Linked DNA regions of Coturnix japonica. The protein of the gene in region 1 interacts with the protein of each later gene in a pairwise test. Links are inferred from orthologs where the notes say so. Each region holds a gene or a part of one and is shown on either strand. Other genes may lie near its edges.

The links.
Region 2: the proteins of DHX15 (region 1) and RBM5 interact in binary tests that used the Homo sapiens proteins (3 or more experiments, as listed by UniProt). The link is inferred for Coturnix japonica from reciprocal best matches to the Homo sapiens genes DHX15 and RBM5.

Annotation. Positions count from the first base shown.
Region 1 is NC_029519.1:66,705,632-66,716,335, forward strand, and holds the start of DHX15 (pre-mRNA-splicing factor ATP-dependent RNA helicase DHX15), read left to right. Parts: upstream 1-4,212; 5' UTR 4,213-4,336; coding exon 4,337-4,401; intron 4,402-8,432; coding exon 8,433-8,775; intron 8,776-10,704.
Region 2 is NC_029527.1:1,960,913-1,971,640, forward strand, and holds the start of RBM5 (RNA-binding protein 5), read left to right. Parts: upstream 1-3,004; 5' UTR 3,005-3,122; coding exon 3,123-3,139; intron 3,140-3,226; coding exon 3,227-3,647; intron 3,648-3,723; coding exon 3,724-3,879; intron 3,880-5,302; coding exon 5,303-5,372; intron 5,373-5,848; coding exon 5,849-5,922; intron 5,923-8,205; coding exon 8,206-8,289; intron 8,290-9,254; coding exon 9,255-9,315; intron 9,316-9,435; coding exon 9,436-9,501; intron 9,502-9,923; coding exon 9,924-10,084; intron 10,085-10,728. Other genes in the region: probable G-protein coupled receptor, read right to left, coding at 840-2,141. UniProt on the Homo sapiens protein: Component of the spliceosome A complex. Binds to ssRNA containing the consensus sequence 5'-AGGUAA-3'. Regulates alternative splicing of a number of mRNAs.

The DNA.
Region 1 (10,704 bases):
ATTAGGTCCATTTATTCACACAGGCTTGGTGGGAGGACAGAATGAGAGCTTGGCTGTGATGAGCATTTGCATTTAAGGCTCCTGGGTAATTTGATAAGAACATTATCCATTTATATATATTCTTTTAGAGCAGACTGCTTTATCATAAATACTTTTTTATTATTTTTATTAAATTAGTTTGCAGGAAATTCTTTAATATCATGTGCTGTAGATTTAAAAAAAAGGGGAAAAAAAAAAAAAGGAAGAAAGTGTTAGACTGGCTGAAAGAGCTGGGGCTGTTCATCCTGGAGACGAGAAGGCTCCAAGGTCACCTGATAGCGGTCTTTCACTATCTGAAGGAGAGCTACAGGAAAGAAGGGGACAGTTTATTCAGCAGGGTCTGTGGTGAAAGGACAAGGAGAAACAGTTGTAAGTGAAAAGAGGGTAGATTTAGGTTAGATATAAGGAAAAAGTCTTTTACAGTGAGCATGGTGAGGCACTGGGACAGGCTGCCCAGAGATGTGATGGGTATACTCTGTCCCTGGAGACTTCCAAGGTGAGCCTGCATCAGGCCCTGGGCAATCTGATCTAGCTGCAGATATCCATTTGGTTGCAGGAGCGTTGCACTGGATGACTTTTAGTGGTTCCTTCCAATTCTAAGGATTCTATGATTTTTAAAAAACAGACTGTAAATATTGGCAAAGTAAGTGTGGCCATGTAAATATTGGCAAAGTAAGTGTGGCCATAGCATTGCAAATGTATAACCTTGAGTCTACCACCAACTGGCCAGCCATGAAATAAATACATACTACAGAGATTTTAGGGCTCTAACAGTAAAGCTACAGCAAATTTAAATGCTCCCTCCCACCCCTCATAGCTGTCTCTTGTAACTGCTTACTCTTTCTGCTTCCATTCCTGCAGTGGATGAGTAAGTGTGGTTTCACATCACCCACAACCTTGTTTTAGCTTGAATAAGGAAGGTGTGTTTCAGCTAAGATGCTAGGCTGGATATATGTCATTTTTCTGCCCTTTATAGGCTTAGAATCTCTATGAGGACGGTGAAATAATTAGTTGCATGCAGTAAAAAATTGTGATACTGGACTTCTCTGTCAGAATCCTCATTTGTTCCAGGGGCATGTACTTGAATTACAACTTGCCTAAGACCCATGCTTAGTCTCTTGGGGAAAAGGAAACACAAAATCAGAAAACAAATTATAGTGTTTCATAGATGTTATTCACAGCAACTGTTTCAGTTTTAAATGTTCATGCCCTTTTTAACCCAATTAACATGAGAGTAATATGTGTACATGAAAATCAAAGAAATATTCACTAAAAATTGTCTGAGAGGATTTTGATACCAAGGAGTGTACTTTTAAAAACTAGGGTAAGAAACTGAGAGAAGAATAGATGCTCAGAAGGCAACTCATAAATATCTCCTAACTCAGTGATCTAAGATTTTCATTCTTATAGATGGTTATGAAAGACATGGGGGAAACCGAACTATTATTTAACAAATGTATTTGAAAAGGCGGAAAATATGCTTAAATATGCCCTATTTTGCACATTCCTTTCATCCTTGAAGCTTTTGACGTAATGCTCACCACTTTGTCATTATGTCAATTTGTGCTTCTCAATCTTTCTTTCTCGTCTTATCTTACATTTGGGCTAGAATCCTGTGAATACTTACCTACATGCTTAATTTTGCTACTTGTAGTAATCCCTTTGAAGTTAAAAGGATTAACTGCATTAGTAAAATAAAGCATGTGTGTGCTTGCAGGATGAAAGCCTTAGATTGACAATTCTTCAGGATGATGGGACAAAATTGTTCATTATGGAGCCAATAGCTCAAAACACGGGTGGAGGCTGCATTCAGCAGTTTGCAAAGTACTGTTAATAAAGACAATTGGAGCATGAGGTATCAGTCTGGGACAGAGGACTCCAGCTCACCCCACATGACACACTATATATGTATTGTTTTCTGAGAAGGTGTAACCAGTTTTAAGATCTCATGCCTGCTGAGATATCTATTCTGCTTTTCCCTCCTCCTAAACCAGGAGCTTTCCTGAGGTTGGCCATGTGGTAACCTGGATCAAGAGCCTAAGTGCCTTTATGCTGCTTGGAGGAGCAATCAAGATCAGGAACGTACAGTTGAACGCTCCATGCACCTGTTGTTGAACAGCCTCTGCCTTCTAAGAATCTCAGGTGTTACCCTTCACAGCTGATGCATGTAATGCTTTTACATTCTTCTATTTTTCCCACTTTCCAGGGAGATCCAGCCCCCTTATTGTTTTATTTTTTGTCTCCCTTCTCTAATCAGCTCAACGTCTCCCCTATTTCCAGTATTCTTAAGCTTTTGCTTAATACAGTTGTCATTTAAAGAGCTTTGTGTAGCTACCCTCTGGGAATGTAGTGCTTTGTACGCTGCCTTGGAGAAAATAAGCTTGATATTTGGCATGTAGAGAGAAACCCGTAACATTTAACCCCTGGCAAACTGTGACACAGATTTTTCCAGAGTTTTTTTGTAATATAACTTGGAAAATTACTTCCAGTTTTGCATGAAAAGCTCAAAGTCCAGAATTTCTGGAATGTTTATTTCAGTTATCACTTCAAGCAGAAAAAAATGGTATTCTTTATTGTAGTAGTGCCTAGAACTTGAGCTGAGGGTGTCGTTTTGTTGTATCGTTTAAAATAAAAAATGCTCTTCTACTAAATATACACTGATGGTTTGTCTTTGTGGAATGTTATAGCAGTTACACTGATGTAACTCTGGAAGAACATGAGGGTGTGGGTAAACACCTACTTCCTGAGCTGGCTGTGCCCGTGGAACAGGTCACTTGCTGCTAAGTGATTTTTTCTGACCATTTTCAGATTTGCTAGCTGAGCCAGTTGTGAGAATACTCTCTTGCCCTCAGAGTTACACAAGTTAACAACAAATTCTTATTCAAAACATCTGATCTAACCTAATTCCTTTGACCAAAGTGCTGGGGAGTGACCACTCCTCCAAGTAGCTAGGTGAAGGTTTTGGTAATCTCTGGCAGAAAGGCAGTGAGAACAGGCAGGGAGGATGACTTGGAAAACAATGTATTTTTTGTCAGGTGCACCTAGATGAAGAGATAGGAATGAAATGTACTGCCATAATATTAACCTGTCTTATCTGAGACATTAATTTAAACCACTACTGCAGCACTGAGAGAACATGAAATATACTGGGAAAGCAGGGAGGAACAGAGAAGAGAATGTCCAACAGTAGATAAGTATCAAGAAACATCCTTCTTGCCTTTCGAGAAGCTCTCAGAGATTGACTTTTATGAGCTATGCTGTATTATCAAGTGACTGTTTTGGAAAGCAAGGCAGCTGCTAAGACTTAATGATGGATGAGAGGAGAAACAGCTGAAGGATCTAGTTGTGAGAGCACGGGGGTCTGCCTAGAAATAATAGTGCTCATATCAGTGGTGAAATGATTAACATTACAAACGATTCACTTAGGACATCTCATTTAGGGACATCTTAATTGCCTGATTTTGTCTTCTCCTGCTCAGCCTCATCTCTGCTTACAGTCAGGGAACAAACACAGCTTGCATGGATGGTTAACCCAGTTCCTAGAAGGCGCTGGGGGAGGATGGAGATGAGGAACACAGTTCAGGACACAGAGACAACCCAAAAGGCAGGTTTGCTGGATCCAGTTTGAGCCATAGATTGCTGCTGGTACTGGCTGGAAATGTGAAATGCATCAGTACACAAGAAAGACCTGATAACTGTATTGAGAAAATGGCATTTTTAGCTCATGTGTCTCATTGCACTTCAGCAGTTGTTATGAAATACTAGTTTGTGTTCAAATCTAACGAACTTTGATGTAATAGTGGCAGCCGTGCCTGCTGGCGTTAGGAACACGGGCTTCCCTTGCACTAGCAATCCCAAATACATGAGTGTCATGTATTTGAATGAACGTCACCGATTTTCTCACTTCTGCTTCAGATGACTTGTGAAAGGTCGCGTTTTTCTACACACATGGGCGTCAGCAACGGCCCACAAAAACGACGTGCCAACATCATTCTGCTTTTAACTTCCACCGTGGAAATACTCCTGTGCTGGGGAGCAGAACGGACTGTGGAAAGCACCTTTGCCATCCGCTCCCGCCCGCCCCCACAGCGCTGTGGGCCGCAGCCGTTGTGAGGCGCGGGGCGGGGCGGCGCTCACTCCCATGCGCGGCAGCGGCTCGCTCAGCCCCGTCGCTTCCTTCCGGCCGCCATTTTAGTGGCTGCTCCTGGCCTCGCGGCGCCGCTGCCGTCGCTGCTGCTCTTGAAGCGCAAAGCGCGTTCCCTTGAACCCGGCCCCGCTGCACCCAGCGGCCCCCGCCATGTCCAAGCGCCACCGCTTAGATCTGGGCGACGATTACAGCTCCAGCAAGAAGCGCTCTGACGGGTACGAGGCAGCGCGGCCCGCGGCGGGCGGGAGGATGGGGGGGATCAGCGCCGCTCCCGTGATCGGCTGCTCGTTCTGGGCCCAGGCCGCTCCCCGCGGGATGGAGCCTCCGCCGTGCGGGGCGGCACGAAGGGATGGATGGATGGATGGGAGCGGCGAGGCCCGGGCGCGCTGCAGCGTGGGACTGGGCCCAGCTCGGCCTGGAGAGTGGGGGAGGCGGATGGCGGCGGGGAGGAGAAGGAGGGGCCGGGTTGTGCTGGGGGCGGTGGGGCGGCGCGGCTTTGTGTGCGGCCTGCCCGTACCTTCAACTCCGCATCTCCTTTTTGATGCGCTTGTGTCGTTTTCGTTTAGTGGCAAACGTGATCCAGGGGGTCAGCGTGAGGTACTGCGTCCTTAAGCGGGTGGGAGCGTTATTCCTTTGTTAGCTGCCTGCGCTGGGTACCCGGCTGGGGTTGTGCCTCATGTGAGGAGGCAGCGCCAGGTGGGGTTGGGGTGGGATGTCACGGTGGGAGTAGGTTTCTTTGTTTTGCGTTAGTTACTTTTAGGGCTCGATGCACCAGCTTTAGCAGCCTTCCATCAAGGTTAGTGGCGTGGGGGGTACACAAACAATGTGCCGTTGTTGTTTTAGTGCGGTCTCTTCATATTTTGTGTTCCCTGACGTTGGTTTGGGAGCAAAGGGCCTCAGAAGGCTCAGGAAGGCAGGGCTGTGTTTATCTGGCCTGCCCTTCTTGGGAAGCACAGAACCCATCCTGAATCCCATCCTGAATCAGCTCCTCCCTGAAGCCCAGCAGTGCTGTTTAGGTAAAAGTGTTGATCTGAGAAGAATCAGCACAGAATATTGCACCTCAAACCTCCATAGGTGCCGGGTTTGTGTCCCTTTGTCCTTCCCTCATCTGCCATTAAAACTTTACCAAGTCTGCCGTTAAAAGCTTTAAGTGGCACAGGACTAAGAGTCACTGTGGACTTGTTGAGTTTATTTCTTTGTCATAGTCCTTGAGATCTTAGTTCATCCAGCACAAGGCACACACTATTCATCCTAAGTTGTCCTGGCTTATGTAAGGGTCGGTAGGTTTTCCAGCCTACAGAAGGCTGCGATGCACAAGTTGTTACCAACATGTATATTCTTGTCCTATTCTGCACACTGTGGCTTTCTGCAGTGTAGTTGGTTTTGGAACTGGATTAAACTATATTAGCTCCTTGAATAGATACCACATCATGTATAGAATAGCATTGTACCTTGCCTTCAACGTGGGTCACCTGTCTACAATGTAAAATTATGTTGAGTTGTTGCTATGTTCTTTCTGAGGCCTGTATCAGTGTGTGTAACCCCACATGGCAGTCATGCTGTTGGTTTGCAGCTGTTCTTGCAGCCTTAGTGGCTTGACACCACTCGTTATCTTCCTGTCTTGAAGAATCCTCTGTGAAGACAAAACCTTTTGGGGAAGGTGTGGTTTAGAAGTTTTCTGTTACAGTGCTACTGTGCAAGTTGTATGTGTGCAATTTAAAACCCGATGGTTTTTTTTTCTAAGCACGCTTATCTTTGTTTGGTGTTGTGTAACATCACAGTTGCTGTGTTTGTGTGATGCATCGTTTTCACTGATTTTCTTAGGTAAAGAGCAGAAATGCCAATCTAACTGCTGCTGCTGCATCGACTGCCAACAACTATTGTTGCGTCTGCTTAGTAGTGGCAAAAATGCATGTATCAGTGATGTTAGTTTTGCTTAGACTTCTGTTGTGATGAATGGAACTGGAACAGGCTGCCCAGGGGGGTCGTGGAGTCTCCTTCTCTGCAGATATTCAAGTCCCACTTGGACGCCCACTTGTATGACCTGGTGTAGGGGAACCTGCTTTGGTGGGGGGTTGGACTCGATCTCTAGAGATCCTTCCAACCCCTACAATTCTGTGATTCTGTGAATGTTGGTTTAACCTTATTTCTTTTCCATTTGCAGTTTTCTGTGCTTTTATGTCCTCTAAGTCAGTGATTTATTTTTTTCACCTTTTTTTTTTTTTTTCCATCTATTTGTATGGGTGGGCATAAGGAGTTCAGGTAGCAAACCAGGCAACCTCACATGAGAACAGAAATCCAACTAATAAATATAAATGCCCAACAAAACCCACCGTTGCCACCAACCTCTTCCCATTTATGAAGATTGTTGTGGACTTTATGCACGAGACAAATGTTATTAAGTTTTGATTCTTTTTGTTGTTTGTTTTAGGGTTTATGGTCAGGCTGTTAAGTGCAGAGATGAGGAGCGACTTAAATGTGACATTCCATTAATGAAGAACTGCCAAGTTGTGTTTCCAGAGATTTTAGTGTTATCATTTGGCAGTGTAACCATCACTCTACCTGTCCCTTGTTTTGATGCAAGGTACCTGGTGTGCCTCATAGATTTCAGTGGTAGTGGAAGGCTGACAGACATGTTCTTAGGAAAGTAATGCTGTTGTAGAAAGATTAATATTGATGATTAGATTTAAGGTCTGTTTTTTCTGTGCTGACGTCTGATTCCCCTCTTTTATACTGTTCTTAACCATTTTTGGAACTGAAAATCAACTCTCTTGGTTGACCTTTAAGTCAGCTTTTTGACTTCTGAAATGTAGGTAGAACTTGATCGGTTCCTTTTCTGTTATGACTGAAGAGTTAATGAGATAACAGTCACTGGGGAGTAACAGTTCCAGTTTGGTTCCCACTTGCTGTCCATTTAATTTACGTTAGCTAGAAGTTTGCTTATTACTTTAGCACTTCTAGTTCAAAAGTTTTGCAGATAAAAATGCCATTTTTTTTTTTTAAACTTGTAGTTGTTTAAAATGTAATCTAAAAAATGGAATTTATTGGTAAAGTGGGACTCTCTTCAAAGTGCCAAATCACAGTAAGGTTTGGAGTTTTATTGGAACTGTGTGGCTGTATTTCTTTGGTAAATCTGGGGGTTTCTTGGTGAGTGTATCAGGGTTCAGTAGGGGAAGCAAAATTGTGTGTGGAGACGGGTACACAGATCTTAGTAATCTGAAACTGCCACAAAGACTGAGGTGAGATGCAATTTTGAGCATACAACAAAAATAATCCTATTTCTCTGCACTTGCAATATAATTATTTCTTGGACTTTATGGTTAGAAGAAAGTATACTTCACATCTCTGATAAAAGTAGTGGACCAGTCCAAGATTGGTTGGTGTTTAATGCCAGTTATTTGCCATTGACTTGTTCTGGTATTGCTGCTTTGATTTTAACTTTGTAGATTATCTTAGTTTAGAGAAAATGGAGTAGATTTATAACTTGAAGTAATAAGTTTTTTCCTTATGGATGTTCTTAAGTTTGTATTTCTTCATGTTGAAGATGTGGAATAGTTCAGGTAATAGAGATTTTCACAAATTGTGCAGATATAGCAATGTCTGAGGTTTGGTAACAGGATGGGACAAATAGGAGTGCACACATACTGTTGTTGAAGCAGGTGGTAGGAGGCGATACTGGAGAAAACACCATAACTTACTAGTTTTAACTCTAAGTTTCTAACTCAGCAATCAAAGTTGAGTTAGAATTGTATGGAAGACTTGTTAAAAAAATCTTTTATTATTTTTTTTGAAAGCTCCAAAGCCATTCTGGGATCTTAGAATCAAACATTTTTCAGGGCTCATTTATTATTAGTTTCTGTGGCTGGCCTAATTCTCTTGTTAATTAGGCTATAAGAGTAATAATGTTCATATTTTTGTGCACTTGGAGGAAGAGTTGTGAGAAGCGCAGAGCGTAGCAGGTTGCTGACAGCCATTAAATGAAGAGGGTTAAGATGGTGCTCTCTATGGTCTTGCTTGTGACAAGAGGAACTGTGGCAGTAGTTGTGTATGGTGATTGATGCACAGTACTAGAAATAGTTGCGCTTTGTTTATACCCCAGATAACAACAGGTAACTGTTGGAAGGAATCCTTAAAATATTTGGTTTATGTTCACCTTGTTGTAGAGATGTTTAAAATCAATTTGTGTTCAAATCTCTTCCTAACATTTAAATATCCTAATTTTCTGCTGTTTCCTAACTCATTTTAGGAAGGATCGTGACCGAGACAGGGACCGTGATGACCGGAAAGATCGTGACAGGGATCGTGACAGAGATAGAGATCGTGACAGAGAAAGGGAGAAGGAAAAGGAGTTGCGAGCTGCGTCTAACTCTACGCTCATTGCTGCTGGGTTGCCACCTATGAAACCAGCAATGATTCCACACAGTATTAACCCTTTCACAAATCTACCACATACACCTCGTTATTATGACATACTGAAGAAACGACTACAGCTTCCTGTCTGGGAATATAAAGAAAGATTCACGGATATCTTGATTAGGCATCAGTCATTTGTGCTGGTTGGAGAGACTGGGTCTGGTAAAACAACACAGGTGAGTTCTTACTTTCACAATAGTGGAGTTCTTAAAGGTTGGGATGGTTGCTAAGTAAGGGGATTGAGTCTTTATTTGGTATCTTTAATGTCATTATGCAGAACATCTCATAAATAACAAGCAAAACTGATTTGATGAGTGTATGATTTGCTTAACAAATGCAGAAGTATGTGAGGAGAATCTTTCACCGTCCCTTGTTTTAAACCCTACTGTGTTCTCTGGCTTTACCTCCTTTAGGCTCCTTGGTGGTTACATGTTTGGTAAATGAAGATAGTTTTGAGGTGCTGGCTTCAAATTCGTATCCCTTTAGCAGTTTATGTAGGTGGTTGCTTGAAAGTAGGTAAAATGTAGCGGAAAAAGGTCATGTTAGTGTTTTCTGAAGCTTAGTGCTACAGGTAAGAACTCAATGGGAATATCAGGTATTGGTTTGATGTGGTCTTCCTCAATGACAGCAGGTATGCAGAGCTTCACTAGCCCTTAAGAGTTTGGGGACTGGGAAAATGGGGAACATATAAGGAAGGGCATGCTGTGTTGTGTTTATAGAAGAACAAACTTGCTCAACTCTTGAACTGTTCTCTGTGGAAATATGATATTAAAAAGACCTTTTTTTCTCTAATCTGATAAATGCCTTTCATCTAAGACTAAGTTAAAAACTGGAGGATATATTCTAATCTTCATAAAAGGGATTATAGCTGACTCACTAAGTCCTGGAAGATTTTTTTAAGTTATAAAATTTATTAGTCTGAAAAATGTGAAGAACATAGGATAGTGAATACCTTCTATGTCTATGTACCCGAATGTTGTGCTATTTTACTGTGTATTTTAAGTACCTTCTTGTATAGAAGGTTCCTTAGGGCTATATTGCCTTTTTTTTTTTTTTTTTTTTAAAGATCCATCAGCTGTTGAGTTGTGTTTCTGCTTCACCTCTAACTTATGGAAGGAACTTAAGAAACCCAATGCATCTATATTAAAAGTGGGACTTAAGCTATCAAAAGCACAGAAGTTATCTTGGAGTCTTCTGTGCTTCCTGTGGGTTCTGACTGTGAGGCGGCAGATCTTCTGAATGCCTCTATAGAAATATGACACTGAAAACAATCCTGCTATCAATTGGGGAAACAGTTGTTTTGAATGTGATAGTGTTGCGTTCTTAAGTGCTGTCTTAAGCCATTTGATGAGTGGTTGTCCTGCTTTCATCTCTTTACATCCATTGATCATAGCATGATGTTCTTCTGTGCTTGAATGTTCAAGCTAAGTATGTACATGAACGACTTATGCCTTCTTTTACCTGATGGAGGGTTAGCATTCATGGATGTCTTGTGGGATTTGACCTTCCAAAGCGATTCTTAACTTTAATGGCAAAGAGGCTGTAGTAGTTGCAAATCTTCTGAGTGAGCTGCCATCTGGCAAGTCCTTTTCCCCCCTTCTTAAAATCCATTTTTTGCTTCAGTCTTGATGAGCCCCCAGGTCTGAGAAAATTGGAATTAATGGGAGACAAGAATTTTCTGTGAAAGCCTCGTTTCACAGACTTACTTTAAATTAAAAAATAGCAACCCCAACTCTATTAAACTGAAGTATGTGTTATGTAGGCTACTAGTTTTCATCTCCCCAGGATTTGCCATGACTTGCTTTGTAATTATTTTCTTTAAACATTCTCAGACTAAGTTCAGTTTTGTAATTATGAAATGGATGAGTTGAACCTCATTTAGGAAAGTTAAATGTGCTGTTTGCAATGTACGCTCCCTTTTAAGTGTGAGATTATTTATGGTACTGCTGTAATAATTTACATGTATTCTTTAGATGAGAGTTTCAACTATAAGGCATAGGATGTTTGCCATAACAAGGGATGCCACTTTCCTGCAAGGTTTTGTGGCTCTGGAAATTCAGAAGCAGCATTGGGGGGTTGGACTCGATGATCTCTAGAGGTCCCTT
Region 2 (10,728 bases), on another chromosome or scaffold:
TGTCCTGGCAGCACTGTGTCCCCTTCCCCCCCCCCAGTCTTGCTATGGTATGGGTAGGAGGGCTGTCCCTGCTGGGGGGACATCCCTTGTCCCTACCCCTGCCCCACTGCTGTCCCTCTCCTGCCATCCCCAGCTCTATGGGCTGAACCCCAGAGCTGCTGAGGGGCTGCCTGGCCTCTATGGGGTCCCCCCATCCTCTGGCTGTGTTGGGGGGGGACTTTCCCCTGGGTGGTCACCTCCCTCCCAGCAATGCCCCCAAGAGCCTGCTGGCTTGGAAACGCTGTATATATAAGTCTATATTTTTCCTCCTTTGTAACTTATCAATGGTTTAATAAAAAGATAAAATTTATGTGAAAAAGATCAATTTTCCACCCCCCGAAGTGGAGACTGCCCCAGCTTGGGGGGGTGCATGAGGTGACAGCAGAGGGGTGGCCCCATGGTCAGTGATCTTCCCTGAGCCCCCTCCCTCCCTCCCCCTAGGGGGCACCTTTCCCCAGCTCCTATTGCTGTGGTGGGGTTTCCTATTTTAGGAGGCTGGGAGCACAGCATCCCCCCCCAGCAGCATCCTGACTTTCAGGAGGGGAGGTACCATGGGCACTGGTGTTATGGTGTTAGTGGTGTTATGTGGGCTGGGGAGGGTGCAGGATGACCCTGGCAGGAGTCCTGTGGGGGAATGGCCCCCCATGCTGTAGCCCCTTGGCTTCCCATGTCCCACATGCTGCAGGAGCCAGGGATGGAAATGATAGCACCCAAAATGCAGCCAAGAGCCAGTCATCCAGCACGCAGGCTGGGACAGCAGGTAAAACATGGACCAGGAGCAAAGAGGATGGGACCCAGAGCTACAGTGGCACAGAGCTCTGCTCTTGGACGCTCTCTTCGGGAACCTGGCCAGGGATGGGGCAGCCCCCCTTGCCCTGCTCCAGCCTGTTCCTGGGGCTGATGCAGCCAGCGTGGGTTTCCAGCGTGCAGGCAGCTCTCTGGAGGAACTGCAGGACGTTCTCCTGGACAGAGGCCTCGGAAATGGCCAAACACAGCTCCTGCGCCAGCGGACGGTGGAGAAGAGCGCGCCAGAGCCGGGCCAGCTCCTGGCGGATCTGCCTGTTAAGCAGCCCATAAAAGAAGGGGTTGATGGCGAAGGAGGAGTAGGCAATCCAGGTAACCAGCATCTCGCCGTGCCCACCGCCCTGCGCAGTGGCACCCACAGAGAAGTGCAGGTGGAAGGCGAAGAAGGGCAGCCAGCAGCACAGGAACTGACCCACGATGAGGAGCAAGGTGAGGATGGCCTTGTTCCCTCCCAAAAAGCGCTCGGGTGCCAGGCGGGGCAGCGGCAGGTTCCTCATGGTGACCATGGTCAGTTGGCTGGCGATGGAGTCACAGCGGGGCCGTGGGGCAGCCGCCGGGGCGGGCGCATGCTGTAGGGCTGCCAGGCGGGCTACCCGGTAGACGCTGCAATAGACAGCGAAGATGATGATGGTGGGCAGGATGAAGCAGGTGATGCAAAAGATGACGACAAAAGCCTTCTTGTGGGCCCCAGGGCTCCAGTAGACCGTGCAGCGGCTGGCGCTGGTGGCCCCGTTGTCTTGAGGCCACCCAACCAATGCCAGGATGGTGATAAGGACAGACTTGACCCAAATGAGAATGACCCCTGCCACAGCCAGCCTGATGGTCATCTTGACCTCGTAGCGCAATGGGTGGACGATGTAGTAGTACCGCTCAATGCTGATGACAGAGATGGTGAGGATGGAGGCGCTGACGAAGCAGATGTTGAGGAATATCAAGGCCCGGCACTCGGCGATGCTGTAGATGACCCTGTCGAAGCAGGAGGAGCTGGAGATGATCCCCAGAGGCATGAGGAAGATGGCAGAGAGGAGGTCAACCACGCACAGGTGGCAGACAAAGATGAACTTGCGGATGAGAGGGGTCTTCAGGATGACCACCATCACCACCACGTTGGCCACGAGGGCAGTGATGGTGAGCAGGACCATGCAGAGGAGGCCCAGCACCTCCTGTGCTGTGGACTGCTCTGGAATGGTGGGGTTCTCCAGGCTGGTTGTGCCATTTGGCCCCATTCGGTTCTCCATGCCCATGGGGGCTAAGCCAACAGCTCCACAGCCGGGGTCACAGGGGCGTGCTTCTTGCATCCCATGGAGGGAGAGCCCACCTTGAGCATGGCCACCATCTTCTCATGTCCCCTTACCTGCTGGGGAAGGAGTAAAACCAGATCCACATAGAAACACAGAGCAGGTCTCCAAAGCATCCCAGAGAGATGATGGCAGGGGTGGCACTGTGGGACCTGCTGGCACCTTAACCATCCCAACACCCCATCCCATCCCACAGAGCCAACCCACCCACCCCATCCCCGCAGCTCTGGGTCCCCCTCCTCACTGGGGGTCACCAAGCAGTGGGGTGGCACCAACATACCTTGGCTCCTTGAGGATGGTCCTTGCCACCAGCCCCGCTCACACTGCAGGACTGGGATTCCCTGCGGCCCCATCCCCCCCCTGGCTGTCCCCCATTACTCATCCCGTTGTTTGCCTGTCGCCGATGGCTCCGGCTGTCACCCCCGAGCTCTGCCCGCCCACTGACGGCGCTGGGGCAGCAGCTGGGTCCTAACAGCCGGGCGGGGAGGGGCAGGGGCTGCAGCCGGGGGGGGCTTCATTAGCCATGCTGCAAAGTGTGGGGCTGGAGCTGCGATAACGGGGGGCAGGGGGTGTCCTCATGGCACGGGGTGACCCCATTGAGCATCAGGGTGGCACAGACAGCTGTCAATGCACGGATACAAATGTATTTGGGGGGGCACAGGGGGTAGAGTGGGGCTGGGCATGGTACCAATGCAGGGCCGGCACTGGGGACCCCCATAGCCATGATGCTACAGTGCTGGGCACGACGGCGGCCATGTTGGTGCGGGCCGAACTACAACTCCCAGCGTGCCCTGTACACCGCTGCGCGTGCGCAACAGCTGGAAGCTTCCAGGCGGCTCGCGCGGTGCCCGCTGGGTAGAAGACGGGCGGTCAGCTCGGCGCCATTTTGTGCTGAGGGAGCGGGGGTTGCGGGCGTGTGTTCGGCGCCGCGTAGTGGCGGTCAGCGCCGGGCAGGAGCCGGGACGATCCGTGGGCAGCGCCATGGGCTCGGATAAGCGGTGAGATGGCGGCGGGGCGAGGCGGGGAGGGTCGGAGGGGGATGAGGGTCGGAGGGGGCTCGGTGTGAGCTCGGTGTGTCCCCTCAGTGTGAGCAGGACGGAGCGCAGCGGCCGCTACGGCTCCATCGTGGAGAGGGAGGATCGAGACGAGCGGGAGCCGCGGAGCCGCCGCAGGGATGAGTACAAACGGTGCAGCGAGGAGCGGCGCGGGGAGCGCTACGAGGACTATCGAGACTACGACAGCAGGGACTACGATAGTCGAGACTACGACAGCCGCGATAGCAGGGACTGCAGGGACTACGACAGCCGGGACTACGATAGTCGAGACAGCAGGGACTGCAGGGATTACGATAGTCGAGACGGCCGAGACTGCAGGGACTACGACAGCAGGGACAGCAGAGACTACGACTGTAGAGACTACGACAGCAGGGATTGCAGGGACTACGACAGCCGGGACAGCAGAGACTACGACAGAGATTACGACAGCAGAGACTACGACAGCCCCGAGGTGAGCAGAGCGATGCGGGCTGAGCAATGGGGTGTTGGTGGGTGGCAGCGGGGTCCTGACGGCTGTTGGCTTCCAGAGGGAACGGGAACGCAGGAACAGCGATAAATCCGAAGATGGTTATCACTCCGATGGGGACTACGGAGAGCACGACTACAGGAACGACATTAACGACGAGAAGGAGAGCAAGACCATCATGTTGCGTGGCCTCCCCATCACGGTTACAGAGAACGATGTGAGTAGGCAAAAGGAGCTTTGAGGAGTGCTCAGAGCTGCTGCCATTTTGTTGAGCGCCATGTCATGTTCCCCCTCCCCCCCCCCTTCTAAATGCGTTGGGAGCGCTTCCATTTTGAATCCTGAAAGGGTTCCGGCTGCTGCTGTTTAACAGCAGAGGTCACCTCAGTGTTAAGCTGTTTTAAACAGGACCCTGTGTGAACACTGCGATTCCCATAAGCTTTTTGTGGGTTTTAAAGCTATGTGTGTGTAGTTCTTTACTCTTCCAACTCAGCACTTGGAAGAGGATAAAGATGCACGTTGTATGTGTTTGTTGTTACTCTCCAGGAATTGTTAAAGGAAAAAGTGGTTTAATTCTTTTTTAGGCTTTTGTGGAAGCCAGAAATAGGGGCTGGTGGGGCGGCTCAGATGCTGAGCTCCTCGGCTCAGAGCAGCCCTATGGAGCTGTGTGTGTACAGCTGTGATAGCCATAAAATGGCTGCTCTGGAGCTGAGGGAAGGAGCGAGCGCTGTGCGCCATCATCTGACTGCAATAGAAAGACCTTGCAGCCCCCCTTGGAGGCTTTTTGCTCTTTGAGCAACCAGGACCACAAGGTTACAGCTGCTGTGGGAGGTGGGATAAGAACCAGCTGTAAAAGCCGAGGTGTATCGGCTTGTTTTCAGGCAGACTCCCCTCCTGACCCTGAGATCTTTGTGCACCAGTTGCTAATGCAGAGAATCCTTTTGCACCACCTCAGTGATTGGTCTCTGCTTCTTTTGCTTTTAATTCAGCACATTGTAAATACTGCTGTTGTATGTAATGCAGCATGAGTAAGAGCTGCTGAGAACCTTTTTCTTAGGAGCCAGTTCTTCGTGTTTATTTTTCCTTTGTGCTCCTTCTCAATTTAATCTAGTTTGTGATGCCCAACTTAAGCAGCTCGGTTGTGTCTGAAGGGCTGCTGGCCCTGTAGTGTCTTTTGACAGTATTCTTAACAAATCTCACTTACTTTGTGAAAAGCAAAGGGGAATTGTGTTAGAAGGTTGCAGTCATGGCTATGGGCTTAAGGAAATATGCATAGCTGAACCTCCCAGTCGTGTTAGTTTGCTTTGTTAGGAGTTGGCTGTATTCAGGCTTGCAGGGAGGGGGCTGTGCTAGCAGCATTCTTTGTAGCAACATTGGAGTAAGCCAAATTTCGTACTGATGGCCTTGGAATTCAAGGCCACGGTGATTCAGATTCTGGATGATTCTGTGAGCTAAGTGAGGACAGTGCAGGGCTGTGTGGGTTCTGTGCTGCATGTCAGGCTCCAGTTCACCTTAAAGGTTTTCTTCTTTTCCCTGTGCTCTGTGTATCTCTTGTGCATGCTGTAGGTTGGGTTGCTTCTCTGTTTGCCTGAGCTGTGTGCCAATATTTGAAAACTTAACTGTCTGATTAAAATCTCACGCAGATCCGGGAGCTTATTGAGTCCTTTGAAGGTCCTCAGCCTGCAGACGTGAGGCTGATGAAGAGAAAGACAGGTGAGAGCTCTTATCCAGTTTTTGCTACGGCCTTCCTCTTCCCCAGCCCAAAAGAGTGTCCAGAATTATCCCCAAACTGCAAGCACGTGCAATCAATAAAAAAATAAACGTTTGCCATGGCTAAGGAATGTGGCTTTTTGGAAGACTTGTAGATAGCTCGTCCTGTTAAAAAGAAGTCTGTCTCCAGGGGTTTTAGTTAACAGGTATTGGTAAGTAATACTAGTATAAACCCATTTAATAGTATGTAGTCTGTTGCATGGTTACCTGTAAACGTGGATTCAAATGGAGTGAAATGTAGCCAGTTAAGGGAGCTTGGTTCCTTGCCATGGCAAAATAACGAGCAGATCCCAGCAGTTGACGTCGCATTTGTAAAGCTGCTTTGTCATGAAGTAATGAAGCAGTTGGAGAGAGATTCACCTGTTTTAAAGGAACTGACTAACACAAGTATCCCGTCTATATCTGAATGCTGTCTCTAGGTGTAAGCCGTGGTTTCGCCTTCGTGGAGTTTTATCACTTTCAAGATGCTACCAGCTGGATGGAAGCCAATCAGGTTGCTTCACTCACCAAGTCTAGATATTCCTGAAAATGGAAAAAGTCTGTACAGTTAAAAAAAAAAAAAAAACAAAGGTGGAAGGAGTGGTTTGGTCCATAACAGTGATTGAAATGAATAAAAGCTTTGTATATATTAAAATGTTAACAGTGGTACAAAACAGCAGCTAACGTTAGGACAGAAAATGGGCTGTTTTGAGCACTCCCTCATAAAACGAGCTGTTGTCTTATCACACAGCATCAGTTTATTTGGCTCTGGGAAGAGTAGCATATAGTCCATAAATGGCTCTTCATTTACTTCCACCTGCTACTTCTCCTGTTGCCAGAGAAGGCATCATTGGATACTGTGATATTTTCATTACATCAGCATTAAGCTGCAGTAGAGCTCAGAAAAAGATGTGCCAGGTCATTAGAAAGATGCGTTCCCTGAGTTAAGGGGAGACACCTGGCTCTAATGATGGAGAAACGTGGTTATTCCAAATATGTCTAATGTGGACTGAGGGCTCTTCAAATCTGCGCTGTGTATTTTGGCTTTTCTGGACTGTGATTTGATGAAGAGCCCAAGTGCAGGAAGTGCTCTCATTGCTTTCCACTTGCACTGGAGGCACGCCTTGGATTTGCTAATTTTTGTGCCTTAGTCTGTTTTAACAACAGATGTTAAATACGCTTTTGAAGCGAGCAAAGTATATTGAGCCCCTTGTGCTTCTACAGCTAAGTGCATGCTGTGAAGGTCTGTGGGCAGCATGAGGAATGTATTCTGCTGCATTGGTTTATGTGTTGAGGCGCTGCAGCAGCACTGTGAGCATCTCCAGCAGATGGAGGTAGCTGTGTGCTTTGTGCTGGGAGTCGTTCCCCATAGCACAGCTCTGGTTCTGTTTCATGGTGCCCTGCTCCGTAGGGTGGGCGGGTGCAGCAGAAGGACTCGTGTCAGTAAATCAATGCTGAGTGCATTTTTAGAAATGAGACAGTTTTAATATATACAAAGCTGTATTGATGCATAATTTATTGAAACAAATATTCAAATTCACTCCAGTAACCCAGCCACCCTAGTAGTAGGGAAAACATAGAGTCTCCCCGGCAGCCCGGTCGCTGACTGTTAGATGAAAGAATGATGTATTGCAACTGTGCCAGCAGCTTTGTTTCTATGTGTGCATATCCAGTGAGCGCTGGGCCCTCCAACCCTCCCTCCTGCCGGTAGGAGAAATGGCTTTGCCCTATATAGTTGCACAGAATGTGAGAGCCTTATTCATGCTACATGTATCTGTCAGACCCTGTTACAGAGAAGCCACTGGTCCTGGTGCTCCTGTGGTACCTCTGCAATAAGCCAACCTGTCGTAAAACTGGTTCTTGTATTAAAGTGTCTCGGGGTTGGCCTGTAGTGCACGTTTCCTCAGACTTAACTTCCTTCTGCCTGTTTGACTGAAATACTTTGTCCGTATATTGAATGAAGGGGCGTTCTACGTGCCCGCACTTGGCAAAGCACGAGGCTGAGAGTTGGGGCTTCTAAAAGCAATCTAAATTCCCAATTGCTGTGAAGTCAGGGTGAGCAGACATGCTGAAAGCATCGTGAACTTTTCCTACCCCAGGAGAAGCTTCGCTCTAGTTAGTCATTTTGGAGAGCTCATGCCTGAATGAAGAACACAAAACTCATGCGCAGGCTTCCAATTGAACTGATGCTTTAGTCAAAGGAAAGCACTCTGAGTTCCGTTTTGGTTGATGGCACTCGTAAACCAGCCTCCAAGAAGTCTAAACAGGGTCCCTTTGGAAGGAATTACTGTATTTACAAAGGGACGCTTCTGAAGAAAGTGCTTGGAAAAATATTGCAAATGTGGTTGTTTAAAGGTCTGGGGAATTTGGAGTAGGGGAAGAAGTGAAGCAGTCACCTAAGGACATGTTTAAAAAGTCGCTCAATACTATACCAGAAGTGAATAGAAACGGGGCAAGGAGACTCCTAAAAATGTGTTAATCCTGAACGCAGCGAGTTAGGACTCTGTCTCCTTCGAGACACTTCCTGGTTCCATGTCAGCGTTTAGTGTTTGGCAACTTTTTCAACACTCCCTGATTCCGTTTATCTCTGCTCCACATCCCATTCTCTTACTGCCCTCGTCCTCCTCTCTGCAGGATTGGATGGGCAGGGTGTAGGTGGCGGTGGTTGTCCTCCACATCCTCCCCATATGTTGTCCATTTAATTCAGGAGCACTGATTCCTCCGAAGGGTGCTCTGCCATGGGAAAATGAACACGTGTGCCTCGATACAGGAATAACTGAAACCACTTCTTTTGCAGAAAAAGCTGGTGATTCAGGGGAAGCAGATTGCGATGCACTACAGCAACCCCAGGCCGAAATTTGAGGACTGGCTTTGCAACAAGGTACAGTGTGTGTTTCTATCTATTTCTCATCGTTTCAGTTCTTTACACCAGCTGTGTGATTAAGACAAAACAATGCATAATACAGGCCTTGTGGTCAACAACAGCAGAGGAACACTAAGGCACAGGAGTGAAGAGGTTTTGCTGGTAGAAACACCTGGAGTGGTGAAATTGTCCACAGAGAACATCAGCAGCTAGAAGATAAGAGGGGTTGGGGCTCACTGGTGTACTTGCCAGCTGAGACTCTGTTCATTAGTGGAGTTGTGTGTTGCTCCCACTAATGTATGCCTGACCCAGAGCACATCTCCCAGGAGCTGCTCCTCACAGCAGAGCTGATAGGATAGTCATGGCCCTGAGGGAATTTCTCTGTGGTTTTGCCATCTCTTTTTAGAAAATCAATAATACTTTCAGCCTTAGGTTGAGCTTCAGCTTTTGCTGATGGATGCAATATTTGTGTATGTACTGGAAAATAGACTAGCAGGATGCTGTCGTTTTTGCTTATACAGAAGTCAGTCAGTGAAGCGTACCAGAACGCAACGTCATTAGGTGAATTCTCTATCCTCCAGGTGACGACTCATTTTTGTGCCCAATTGATTGTCTGCTCCATGCTGCTGTACATTTGTTTGTCCCTCTTTAAGTGGAGATGATGTAGCAAGGTCAAAACCAGGCTTTGTTCTGCTTTGATCACATGAAGATGACTTGTTTTTGAGCCTGTGTTAAACGATACAGATAACATAGTCGTGTAATTCAGGATAGTTTACTGACTTGATCAGAGGTGGCTGGGGTGTTCTGAAAAGCAGCTGCAGTACCAATGAGCACGAGTTCTGCTGTTCTTGATTATTCTAGTAGGTTCAGCTTTGTTGCAGTACTCAGCTTGATTGTCTTGTTTACAGCAAAGTACAGCAAATGCCACCGTTGTTATGGGTCAGTGGAGTCCTTACTAGATGTACTGTTTTTTTTCTACACAGTGCTGTCTTTACAACTTCAGAAGGAGGCTGAAATGCTTCCGCTGTGGAGCGGACAAATTTGGTAAGTTGCTTTCATCTCTTTGGGTGTCTTTGAATTTGGAAGAGAATGGAGGTTGTGGCCTACCCTGTGATATTCTGGCTTTGAGCAACATTGTGATTAAAGTTTTTCCTTCCTGTGAAGATTCAGAGCAGGAGGTGCCACCTGGAACAGCAGAAGCCGTTCAGTCTGTGGATTACTACTGCGATAGTAAGTCATCTTGAAATTATTGCAAAAAAGAGACTTGTGAACCTGTGCAGAAAAGTCCTGTTTGTACCTCAGAGTGTCCTTTAGCACCCACATTGAGCTCTCTCAGGGCACAGCACTTAGCATGGTTAGGTTGTTTCCTTTTTGTAGACTGGTACGTGTGAATGTTGGCAAGGGCTTCTGCTCAGGAAGTGCTTTCCGTTCATTAGAACAGTATTGACAGCCCTCTCATCTTCCCAACAGAGCAAGTGCTTCCTGCCAACTCTCGAAATACTGTACTCTTGAAACAGAAACGTGCTCTTGTCCAAAACTGCTGCTGTTTTGGGTTTGGTGGTGGGGTTTTTTTGGTTTGTTTTTTTAAGGCTTTTCAGAGCACTTCAAGTTCTTATGTACATAGCTAATGTCATACTTTCTTTTTTCCTCAGCCATCATTCTCCGAAACATTGCTCCTCACACAGTAGTGGAATCCATCATGACTGCCTTGTCTCCGTATGCTTCTCTGGCAGTCAATAATATTCGTCTTATCAAAGACAAGCAGACTCAGCAAAATAGAGGCTTTGCATTTGTGCAGCTGTCTTCTGCCATGGTGAGGGCCTTATTGGTTTTGTGCTGAGGTCTGCCCCAGTTCCCTGGGGGTTCATAGATCATTGAACAAATACTAAATGTGTCAGAGCCTTTCATTGTTAGCTGCAGCTTGGAAGGAAAGTAGGGGGGGGATGCTGTGAACACAGGGGAAAAGTGTTCATGGCAGAGTGCAGTTCTGGGTTGAAAGCTCGCTTCATACGTGGGTCACAAATAATGGGCCGGGGTTGTTTGGATCACAATAAAAGGCTGGAGTGTACAGTGTGAGGAAGTGCATAGGATTGGGCTCCTTTCACCTTGAGAAGGTGAAGGAGGGGGAATCTTGCTGCTCTCAGCGTCATCCAGAGCAAGGCTGTAATGGTGGCAGAGATGTTCTCAAAGGGTGTATGGTGAGGGCAGCAGGCACACTGAAACGTGGGAAATGGCAGTGTAAGGTACAAGGAGAATGTCTTCCTTTTGTGTGAAGTTGAACACTGGAAGAAGGCTCCCAGAGGGGTGCTGGAACCTCTGTTGTTGGAGATGTTCAAATTGACAATCAGTGTGGTCTGTTTGGACTTGCTTTAAGCAGAGTTCAACAGTTCAGTGTTGGATGAAAACGGGTGGTTGATGACAGCCTCTGCTGGGCTGCCTTTTGGAGTCATTTGGGAC